Sus scrofa: one gene and its partners. The protein of the gene in region 3 binds, or shares a complex with, the protein of the main gene of each other region. Links are inferred from orthologs where the notes say so. Each region holds a gene or a part of one and is shown on either strand. Other genes may lie near its edges.

Region 1 (3,678 bases), on a different chromosome or scaffold from region 3:
TCTCTAGTGGACATGCTGAGGAAACTATTCTTATGAAGCACCCCAAATAATTCAACTATGAAGACACCGAGATAAGCACATCCCTCACAAAATTCCGATGTTTACCCTAACTCCCAGGTGATGATATATGGAGATGGGGCCTTTGGGAGATGATTAGATTTAAATGAGGTCATGACTTGGAGCCCTCGTGATGGGATTAGTGTCATTAGAAGAGGAAGAGATACCAGGGCTTGCTCTCTCTGCACCACGTAAAGATACAGCTCAGGTGGCCATCTGCAAACCAGGAAGAGAGCCCTCCAGTGTCCAGTCATCCCAGCATCATGATCTCGAACTTCCAGTCTCCAAAACTGTTAGAACTAAATTTCTGTTGCTTAAGCCACCAGTCTATGGTATTTTTTAACAGCAGCCTGAACTGACTAATACACAATGTATGAGGATTAATATAATCCAGGAAAAATGTAAAGTGTCTATGACGTGGTAGCCATCCTCATAATACGAATGCAAAATTCGCATTACTCCAATGAAACTTTACACTTGCAGAGAGGTAGGGAAAACTTCCTTCTGTAATTCTGAGGTATCAAGGGCAACATTCAGATCAAGAGGCAAAGAGAATGGCTGGAGAAGAAAAATAGAGTAAAGGCACTGTTCCCTATTTCTCCTGCTAACTACAGCTAAGGACATAATTTACAAGACAAATCTCACAACAAAGAATTATCTGGCCCGAAATGCCAATGGTGCAGTGGTGAAGAAACCCTGATTTAAACTCACCCCCTTCTGGAGCCTTCCCAAAATAACCGTGATTATTTTGTTCTCTGTCCCTCTGGTCTCAAAGAAAGTTTATTTATTCATTTATTTATTTATTTTGTCTTTTTGCCTTTTCTAGGCCACTCCCTCGGCATATGGAGGTTCCCAGGCTAGGGGTCCAATCGGAGCTGTAGCTGCCGGCGTACTCCAGAGCCACAGCAACTCGGGATCCAAGCCGAGTCTGCAACCTACACCGCAGCTCAGGCAACGCCAGATCCTTAACCCACTAAGCAAGGCCAGGGATCGAACCCGCAACCTCATGGTTCCTAGTCGGATTCGTTAAGCTCTGAGCCACAATGGGAATTCCTCAAAGAAAGTTTAAAGCAAGGTTATACACCCCCTGAGTTTTTCCCTAGCAGGTTATGTTGCCTACCCTAACAAGCCTTTGTCAGTTAGTGCTGTTTTAACAAAATACCACAGACACAGTAACTTATACACAATAGAAACATTTCTCAGTTCTGGAGAGTGGGTCCAAGGTCAAGGCACCAGCACAGTCACCCACAGACACAGTAACTTATACACAATAGAAACATTTCTCAGTTCTGGAGAGTGGGTCCAAGGTCAAAGCACCAGCACAGTCACGTTCTGATGAAGGCCCTCTTCCTGTGGTTCATGGCCAGGGCCTTCTAGTTCTAGCTCTGTGTTGTCAAATGGTAAAAGGCACAAGGGAGCAGCTCTCCAGGAGACCTCCATCCTCAAGATTTAAGCACTTCCCACATCCGCTCCCTCCTAATACCATCACCCTGGCATTCGGAATTCAACATATGGATGGGGCGGTGGGGAGTGGAGATAGGATAGAAACATTCATAAGATTCTCTCTAGATGGGGCCAATTATTAGGTAAAAATAAAAATATTTCTCTGTTCCCTCCTCTCATCTTTTTGTACAGAAAGTAATAAGCACAGATCAAATAATTTAAATACTGATACTCCTTTAAATTCTTAGGGGCCTACACAAGTTCCACCAGAGCTGTATCTTCTTTTTCAATACGCAAGGTTACATCTTTCTGAAGCCTTCTCTTATCCATACAAGCAACTGCTTGTTCTCTCCCTCATGCTACCACTATCCCTATCTCTCTCTCTCTTTCTCTCCCTCTCACACACAAACTTGTATTATAAAACTCACCACAATTATTTGCTCACATGTCTGCCACTCTTTCGCCCTGGAAGCAACTTAAAACTAGAATTCTGACATATTCTACTCAACATAAAACAGCTCCTCACACAAAAATAGGCAATCAAATAAAGATTTGGGAGAGTTACAGAATAAAAGAAACCGTCATTGCTGGGTCCCCTACAGTATGTTATAAACTGGTGCCCTAGGCTTTCTTCCATTCTCATTATCATTAATCCTACCACCGTTTATAGAAAAGGAAACTGATGCCCAGAGTTTAATTAAAGATCTTCCCAAGGCCCTGCTTAGAAAGCTAGCTCAAACTACATTTACTTCGATCAAGAATTCATGGTCTCACACTACTATATATAAAATAAACAACAAGGTCCTACTGTATAGCACAGGGAACTTTATTCAGTATCTCAATAACCTATAACCGAAAAATCTGAAAAAGTATATGCATAACTGACCACTTTGCTGTACACCAGAAACTAACGCCACACTGTAAATCACCTATACTTCAATAAAAATAAAAAAAGAATTCGTGATCTTTGCCCCTACGTACTGAGAACCCAAGGATGTAGAGACGGCGTCTTGGAGAGGGAGGTAAACGGCCCCTACCTCATTCCTGTGGCGTAAACAGATCTAGGACCATAACCCAGGTCCACAAACCACAGCTCAGGGCACCCGCGGAGCGCCCGAGAGGGAGACGACACCCCCCATCACCCTCCCCATCGCCATCCCCCGCTCCAGCCGTACCTGGCTCCCCGATGTACCTCTGCCTGGCTGCGCCCTGACTTCGCACCCCGAACCCCAACTCCTTCCTTAACTCCCTTACCCTGTCGCTGAAACAGCGAGCGCGGGCTCAGGCGTCATCAGTCGTCGACGGCGAGTGGTCACATGATGCCCCGCCCCACTCTCCGCCCCTTTGTCATGTGACTGCCCAGGGAGCCAGGGGCGGAAGCCGGGGTCCAGCCGGCTCTGGAGCCAGGGCGGGGGACTGAAGAGGACCCCTGCGGAGGCAAAGAGGTGGGGGCCGGGGTGCTGACTCCGCGCTAGACCGCCGGCCTTGCGCGTGCGCCCTGGAGCGGCCCGGGGGACAGGTGAGTCGGGGCGGGGTGCGCGCGCCTCCTCCTTTCACGTTCCCCGCCGCCCCGGGGCTGGGCCGCTCTGGCCAGGGGTGCTTCTGCGGCGTGGGGTGGGGTCTGGATGGGACAGCCTGGCCTGGAGGAATGAGGGTTTTACTGGGGCTGCGGCTGCGGCTGCGGCTGCAATCCAGGCTCTGCATCTCCACTCAGGTGGAAGCAATTTTTCACGCGCTTTGGCGCTTTAGAAAGTGATGTTCAGCTACTTGGCCAGCATCGTGTCCTTCCAAGTTCCTGGGAGCAGTGGTGTATGGACGTCGATATTTCTCCACTTACACTCAAGAAAATCGAGTGGTTGGTGCGGGCTTTTACAATCTGACGGACCTGGCTTTGAATTCTATTTCTGTCATGGACTGTGAGTTTGGGCAAATCATTGCTCCTCTTTTGCACCTTAATTCCCTTACCTATGACATATCAAAGTCCTTTTCATTTCGAGAAATAGTTCCGAAGGTCCTGATTTGTCTGTGGTCATTAACGAACTCCCCCGTTAACGGGAGCGACAGGCGCGGCGGCGGGGGCCGGGGGTTTAACCGAGCGGATAATGGATCCTTGTCTCCTGATTCCAAGTGTGTGGAACTTCCCTACACCATAGGTGAAACGGGGTTGGAGGCGAGGAG
Region 2 (3,750 bases), on a different chromosome or scaffold from region 3:
CTCTGGGCCGTCCCTAGCGCGCATGGGCGGACGTCCTCCTCCGCTCTGTCTGACCCCTTCGATTTTCCGCCGTTGTCCTAAACGTTGCCGGGGCGTCATCTGAGCCATCAGTTCCCGAAATGTCTGATGAAAGAGATTCCCTGAGGTGGGGGGACAGAGAGAAAGGAGAGGAGCCGGTTGTGACCGTCACCCGCAGTGCGTACTCTGGCAGGCAGGCGCAGGAGGAGGAGGGGGAGGCAGGGGCTGATGCCTTCTCTGACGACCTCAGCCTTGGGGAGGCCGACATTGACCCAAGCCTCCTGGAGCTTGTGGACGAGGAGAAATGCCGGAGTATCCGCAAGCAGTACCGGCAGCTCATCTATAACGTCCAGCAGAACCGTGATGACATAGTGAACACGGCGAGCGACTCCTTAACCGAGGCTCTCGAGGAAGCCAATGTCCTGTTTGATGCAGTGAGTCGAACAAGAGAAGCCGCGCTTGATGCGCAGTTTCTTGTTTTGGCTTCTGATTTGGGTAAAGAAAAAGCAAAGCAGCTAAACTCTGATATGAGCTTTTTTAATCAAGTAGCATTTTGTGACTTTCTGTTTATATTTGTGGGTCTAAACTGGATGGAAGATGATGGACGTGATGTATTGAATGACTGTGATGATAATATAGCTTTTTCCTTCTGGGAGACAGTGCAAAAGGAAGCAACATCGTGGATATTGCAAGCTGAAACATTCCACTTTATTTTTGGTTCATTCAAATCAGAGCCTTCTTCTCGAAAGCCCCGACTTGAAAACCGGAAAAAAGTTCACAAGATGGAAGAAAATGGGGACATGCCTACAAAGCTGAGGAAGCTGGACCTGAGTAGTAATCAAGAAGCGACAGAAAAAGAAGTAGAAAGAATCTTGGGATTGTTGCAAACATACTTTAGAAAGTATCCTGATACTCCCGTGTCCTATTTTGAGTTTGTGATTGATCCAAATTCTTTTTCTCGTACTGTGGAGAATATATTTTATGTTTCTTTCATTATAAGGGATGGTTTTGCAAGAATAAGGCTTGACCAAGACAGGCTGCCAATATTAGAGCCAATTAATATGAACCAAGTGGGTGAGGGAAATGATCCCAGTTCCCATGGCAGGAAACAAGGGGTTATATCTTTGAGTTTACAGGACTGGAAAAATATTGTGGCAACTTTTGAAATTTCAGAGGCTATGATCACAAACTCATACTGAAGATAACTTGCTCTTAGAATGTATTTTGTGGCTTTTCTAAAGCATATCAAAACGGCTAATAAAATCCAAACAAAACACACATTGTATCTCTTGTAAAGTGAAAAAGTATTATCAATAACATCAGAAGTTGTGTACTGTGCAATGTGTTTTTCTTGGTATTTATAGAATTGTCATGATTTTCTGCTAACTAAAGAAATTCACTAGCATGTTTGTGGAAACTTTTTTTTTTTTTTTTGACTGTTCCTTAAGACCTTATTAAGAGAAGTTCTGAATTTTTTAAATTAAAAGGTGTTTGACAATTGCAAAAACTTAGTTATGAGGCTCTGTGATACTGCATTGCTTCCTCTGCTACAGGGAATCAAGGGAATTCCATATAGGCTCTTAACCAGGTTGAGGGAAAGAGTGGGTGAAAAAAAATGGTCTGGAAAGACTATCTGTAGGGCAGTGCATAAATACTGTAAAAAAATTCAGATGCCGTGCCTCATTGCAAAGAGGACTCAGCAAATTAGCAGGGATATCCAGATTCTAAAGAATTTCTCCTGTGATTGGACTCAGCGGAAGTAGAATATCTCTACTATAGTAGGTGAGGCATTAACTAAGTGCTGAGAGATGAGTAGAAATTGGTCAAAGATAGGAAAAGTATTCTAGCAGGGAAATATGGAGGCCAAATACATGGAATTGTAAGATGTTACGGTATCAGAAAGATTTATAAGCTTTTTCTGAACACTGTTCCATTTGAATGTTATATTGGGCAAAAATTGATTTACTTCATTCATCTGTTAATATCCTCAGAGGTTGAAGATCTCTGTCAGATTATTTCACACGCAAACTATTTTAACATCCATTTACAATCTCTATCTACTTAAATTCTTCTCTGGCTTCTCATTTTTCCCTTGTAATTTATGTTAGTACACAGTGATTCTGCTAGTATCTCAGAATCAGTGATGTTTCATTATGTTGCAGCCTTGAAATGTTTGTTACCATTTCAACTTTGTATTTCTCAATAGGGCTTTAAATGCCTGGAAATTGTCCTTGTTTAAATTTAAATATATGACTAATTTATCCAAATATTCTTCACTTCTTATAAAGTCAAAAGGCTTTATGTTGTTGCTTATAATTATTTTAAGAATATAAATTGCATTGTTATTTGGAGGCTACTGTTAGAAATTTGGGTCTTTAAGAAAACAATTTTTGAGTTCCCGTCGTGGCTCATCAGTTAGCGAAGCCGACTAGAATCCATGGGTTCGATTCCTGACCTCGCTCAGTGAGTTAAGGATCCGGTGTTGCCGTGAGCTGTGGTGTAGGTCGCAGAAGTGGCTCAGATCTGATGTGGCTGTGGCTGGCATAGGCTGGTAGCTACAGTTTCGATTGGACCCTAGCCTGAGAACCTCCATATGCCATGGGTGCAGCCCTAAAAGACAAAAAAAAAGACCAAAAAAAAAAAAAAAAAGCAATTTTTGAAGGTGCTGTGAGCATGCTTGTAAGCTTTTCTTGATCTCTAGAAACTTAATCTTGGGTCGTAGTGGGTCTTGCCATTAAACCGTATTTAGTAAGTGGGTAAGTATCTGCTTTGTTTAGCAGTAATGATAAACTTTACTGCCACGTCTCATGTAGTAAGGGAAGGGAAATCAAAAGGCTAAATGAATGACATTGAGATTGAGAGGTTCTTTAGTCTTAGTGGAGGGTTTTAGCAAACATAGGAATTTCTCCTGAGACATGGCCTATTATTTTCTAAACTAGTCGTTCCTTTCCCTTTTTTCATGTGAAGGGGTCCTCTCCCTTCCCAGTACCTACCACCCTTTGATCTAGCAGCTGTGGAGGCCTCATTTCGTCTGGCTGATTCTTCCTTTAGTGTGTCTTCCAGCCGCCCCCTTAGGTTTTCCAGAGCTTTGCTGTTTGGGGGAAAGATCTCGACGGGAGCAGAAAGATCTTGCCTCAGGTCTGCTCACCACCGGATGACTCTTTAAACACCAGGTGTCTTGACCAGGAGTGTTTGCGACTTGATGATTGAAAGCACATTGCGTAGCAGAGAACGGGGAGGCTTGTGAAGGAGGGCATCTTTGGGTCTCCTCTAAAGTTACAGCAGAAATAGAATTTTTTTTTTTTTTTTTTTTTTTTTTTTTTTTGCTATTTCTTGGGCCGCTCCCGCGGCATATGGAGGTTCCCAGGCTAGGGGTCGAATTGGAGCTGTAGCCACTGGCCTACACCAGAGCCACAGCAACGCAGGATCCGAGCCGCGTCTGCAACCTACACCACAGCTCATGGCAACGCCGGATCGTTAACCCACTGAGCAAGGGCAGGGACCGAACCCGCAACCTCATGGTTCCTAGTTGGATTCGTTAACCACTGCGCCACGACGGGAACTCCCCAGAAATAGAATTTAAGTTAAACACTTGTTTCTGTTTTTAACTGGTTGTCATGACACCTGGATTGCCTCATCACTTGGAAATTAAGCCACTACTTACCTTGAAGAAAAAAGGAAAATTGACCAATAGATAATTCATTTTTAGAGATTAGGTAAGAACCAAACTCA
Region 3 (3,652 bases):
AGGCAATTGATCAAATAATTATTAGAAGGATTAAAGGATATGAATTTCTTACTGTTCGAGAAGTTAGGTACAGATAGAACAGTACAGATAGAACAAGGGAGAAAACCATAATAAACACTACGGTATAGAATGGATATGCTATTATCAATGTAATGTCATAGTTTTCAGTAGATGATAGCTAGATATACAAATAGACAAAAAGACTAACTTTGTCATGTAGAGGGCTAGAAGCAAGGATACTTCTAGAAGGCATGAGGAAACCTGGCAACCTTGTTTCTGAATTCGTTTCCATCCAAAAGGAATCAGAGCTCTTTGGAGAAAATGGCTGAGAGGTCTGTGGCAGGGAAAATTCAAGTTAAGGCTGAATGATCTTTTTGTGCCAGAAAGTATGGAATTGCTCAAAGAATGATGGGGGCAAGTAGAAGACACAAAAGCCAGCTTTAAAATGCTCCCAGTGGCAAACAGGGACAATTTGGGTATCAAAATAAATCGTGACAATAAAAGACTATAATGAATCTATACAGATAAAAGTGAATAAACTGAAATTTTGGTGAGGAATACAATATTTACAAAATCTCTGTCTCCACACAAGTTGCTTGTTTGTTACAAAGGGAAATGGAAAATTTCAAAGTGTAGAGGAATGGCAGAAACCACCTTAACCAAAGTGATCAAAGTTACAAAATAATAGGACAAATTGAAAACTAAATAGATAATGAAAGAAAACCTTCAAAATTTTTTTTTGTTGCTCCATACCAAGAATAAAAAACATATTTAAACAAACTTTTAAGGAACAGAGCAACAACTAAAATCCCCCACACCCAGCATTGTGCCAAGAACTTCACACATATTTCCATATCTAAGTATCACATCACACACAATACAGGCATCATCAACCCACTTTACAGGTGAGGAAAAATCTGTATACATCTTAAGTAACATGCCTAATTCATATAGCTAGTTATGCAGAAGTAGAATCTGAATCCAGATAGTTTGCTTCCCAGGTAGGCATGGTTAATCACTAATGGCTTTATCTTTTCTGTAACCCACTGAAAGAAATACATTTTACATCGTGATATGCACATACACAAATAAAACAATTTCCACAAAACACTATTTACCTTAATGCTATGTAGCAAAAAGTGTTTTTTGTTAAGATGCCTGTTTTCAGTCATGAAATTAATTTCTCGACTTATGGTTAAAAAAATGCACAATGCTGCTTCAAAACACAGTATTTATTGTAACTATAGTAGCCAAAAAAGGAAAAAAATAAATGTAACTAAAAGTCAGCCACACAACCTAGTAGTAATTATCGAGGTAAAGTTATTTGGGAAAAATACAGCATGTACATTACTTAGAATGATTCATAACGCTTACATACATAAAAAATACATTCTAAAAGTAGCTATGCTAAATTTAAAAAGGGATATAGGCAATTACATTTTATAGACTTTTATTGTTTCAATTTATAGACTTTTATTGTTCCTTTCAAAGTGGGGTCGTCAAGAGGCCAGGTAAGAGCCATTTCGTGCTTTTATTTCCTTGACATCAAAGCAACTTACTGACGTGTTCTTTCTTCAATATCTATTTCCAGATCATGGTACAAAGTTTTCCAATTAGCTTTAGAAAGCTAGCGAGATTTTTATACCAAAAAACACAGACAATAAATCAAAACAAATCGTCCGTTAATATTTTTATAGGTGAAAATTTGGAACCAAGGAACTTGCAATATAAGTCGGCAAACACATCCTAAAACTACGCACATTGAAGCTTTAGCAGAAAGATGCACACACACCACACACACACACACACACACACACGCCCCCCACCCCCCCCTGGAGTCCCTCTGAGTCTCTCAGATTTCAAGAAGAAGGGGCTGGGCCACCTGTTGGGGGTCTGGCCCTGGCCTCCTCCTCAGCCAGAGCCTCACAGTACTGAGCCGGCCAGTCCTTGGGGTCCTGATTGTGGACTTTGGCCACGAACTTGAGCACCTTCATCTTGCTGGTCTCCAGGTTGGTGCGTGGGCCCCACTGGAGCTCGTAGTCCACAGGATCAGTGTGGGGGATGCGCCGGTACTCCAGATACCTCTGCCGCACGAAGTCCTCGGTTATAAGCTTCTTGGGGTCCCCGAAGATCAGGTGCTTCTTGGTGGGGTGCACCCCGAGGCGCCGCAGAAAGTCCCAGACCTCCGTCTCCTTGATGCTGTTGCCTTTCATAAAGATGAGCCCCAGCACGATCATCAGCAACCCGGTGGTAGGTGTGCCCTGGTCGCCGCGCACCTCGGCGTCCTCCTCCACCGGCTCCAGCGTGTTGACCAGGATGTAGGTGTTGCTCCGGGGCTCCAGCTCTACCAGCCGGTACCCGAACACGTACTCCAGGCGCTCGGCTGCCAGCCGGAGCAGCTCCGGGAGGACGTCTTTATAGTCTCCGACCACGTGCTTCAGGATGTCGGTGCGCCGGATCGGGATCTTCCTCTGGTCCTTGATCAGCAGGAACTGCACGAGTTCGGCCACCTTCAGCTCCAGCTGCTTCTGCGACCGGGGCCCCGGCGCTGGGGAGGCCTCGGCCCGCCGGCCGCCCTGCGAGGAAGGCCCGCGGGACGTGCTCGGGACCTCCTCTGCGCCGCCGCCTCCTCCCCAGTCCCGCTCCCGTTCTGCCTGGGTGCCGGCGCGGCCGCGACTCTTCGGTTTTTGCGACATATCGCGGCGGCGGGCCCCGGACGGCGCGGACTCACAGTAACCGGCGGCTGCGAGATTGCGGGTAGGCGCGCAGCTGGTCCCGGCGGCCCGGGGCGGGGCCACGGGCGCGAGTTCCTCACGGAGGCTGCGCGCTGCGTCAAGAGGGCTGCGCGCTACGTCACGGAGTTCGCGCCACGTCTTGTGGGTAGGTCGGAGCAGTGGCCTTTTGGCAGTCAGGAAAGTGGGGTCTTTGCTCAGCCTTGGCGGTCCCTATGGCTTCTTTTATTATAATTAAGGATTGTCCTTACCAAGCCAAGCAGATAGAGAACAGGAAACAAAGCCCCTAACAGAGCGACTAGGACTACTGAGAGTAAGTATGACGAGTTCTCAAGTCGGAACTTGTTAGGTGAAGGAAACTCCGAAGGTGAATGTGGGAGAAAAACCGCGGAGAGCGTGAAAGGAAAGTGAAAGCATTTCTTTTCCATTCAAAACTAGATGTAAAAGGAATGAAAAACCATGAGGACTAGTTTGCTTTCACCAATCCCTCCTAACCGTTTCCCAAGAGTTACTTTCTCTAAAGCCTGTTTAAAACAGTCTCTTTAAAAACAAAGGTAACAACAGACTTGCCTTTTCACTATTTCAGTGTCGATATTGTGTACATATAAATACCATCAGCTGGACAACTTCGCGAAGCCGCCCCATAAATCACGTTTAATTGGAGTGTTTTTGCTTGGTCAAGGGAGTTTATCTTTTATAAAGCACATGCTCATGAAAATCGCCTTGGTCCCACAACCAGAATTTTAGCAGAAATGGGTGAGAGAAAGCTACCAACAAAGATATGCGCTCTCAAGAGGTTGCCGTTTAATTTTAGGCATCCTGACCAAGAACTGCAATCATGGACTGCCTTAATAGATCAGCCTTAAGGGCTCAATGTGAAAGTTAGGAGAACCCAAGGGTAGCATCCCTTATAATCTATT

Evidence for each region.
Region 1: NSMCE3 (region 3) and NSMCE2 share a complex: the UniProt entries of both Homo sapiens proteins name them as parts of the SMC5-SMC6 complex. The link is inferred for Sus scrofa from reciprocal best matches to the Homo sapiens genes NSMCE3 and NSMCE2.
Region 2: NSMCE3 (region 3) and EID3 share a complex: the UniProt entries of both Homo sapiens proteins name them as parts of the SMC5-SMC6 complex. The link is inferred for Sus scrofa from reciprocal best matches to the Homo sapiens genes NSMCE3 and EID3.

What each region holds. Positions count from the first base shown.
Region 1 is NC_010446.5:14,595,310-14,598,987, forward strand, and holds the start of NSMCE2 (E3 SUMO-protein ligase NSE2), read right to left. Parts: upstream 2,884-3,678; 5' UTR 2,755-2,883; exon of another isoform or gene 2,676-2,754; intron 1-2,675. UniProt on the Homo sapiens protein: E3 SUMO-protein ligase component of the SMC5-SMC6 complex, a complex involved in DNA double-strand break repair by homologous recombination. Is not be required for the stability of the complex.
Region 2 is NC_010447.5:80,220,893-80,224,642, reverse strand, and holds the end of EID3 (EP300-interacting inhibitor of differentiation 3), read left to right. Parts: 5' UTR 1-119; coding exon 120-1,217; 3' UTR 1,218-3,309; downstream 3,310-3,750. UniProt on the Homo sapiens protein: Tissue-specific component of the SMC5-SMC6 complex, a complex involved in repair of DNA double-strand breaks by homologous recombination.
Region 3 is NC_010443.5:144,471,225-144,474,876, forward strand, and holds the start of NSMCE3 (non-structural maintenance of chromosomes element 3 homolog), read right to left. Parts: upstream 2,803-3,652; 5' UTR 2,697-2,802; coding exon 1,860-2,696; 3' UTR 1-1,859. UniProt on the Homo sapiens protein: Component of the SMC5-SMC6 complex, a complex involved in repair of DNA double-strand breaks by homologous recombination. The complex may promote sister chromatid homologous recombination by recruiting the SMC1-SMC3 cohesin complex to double-strand breaks.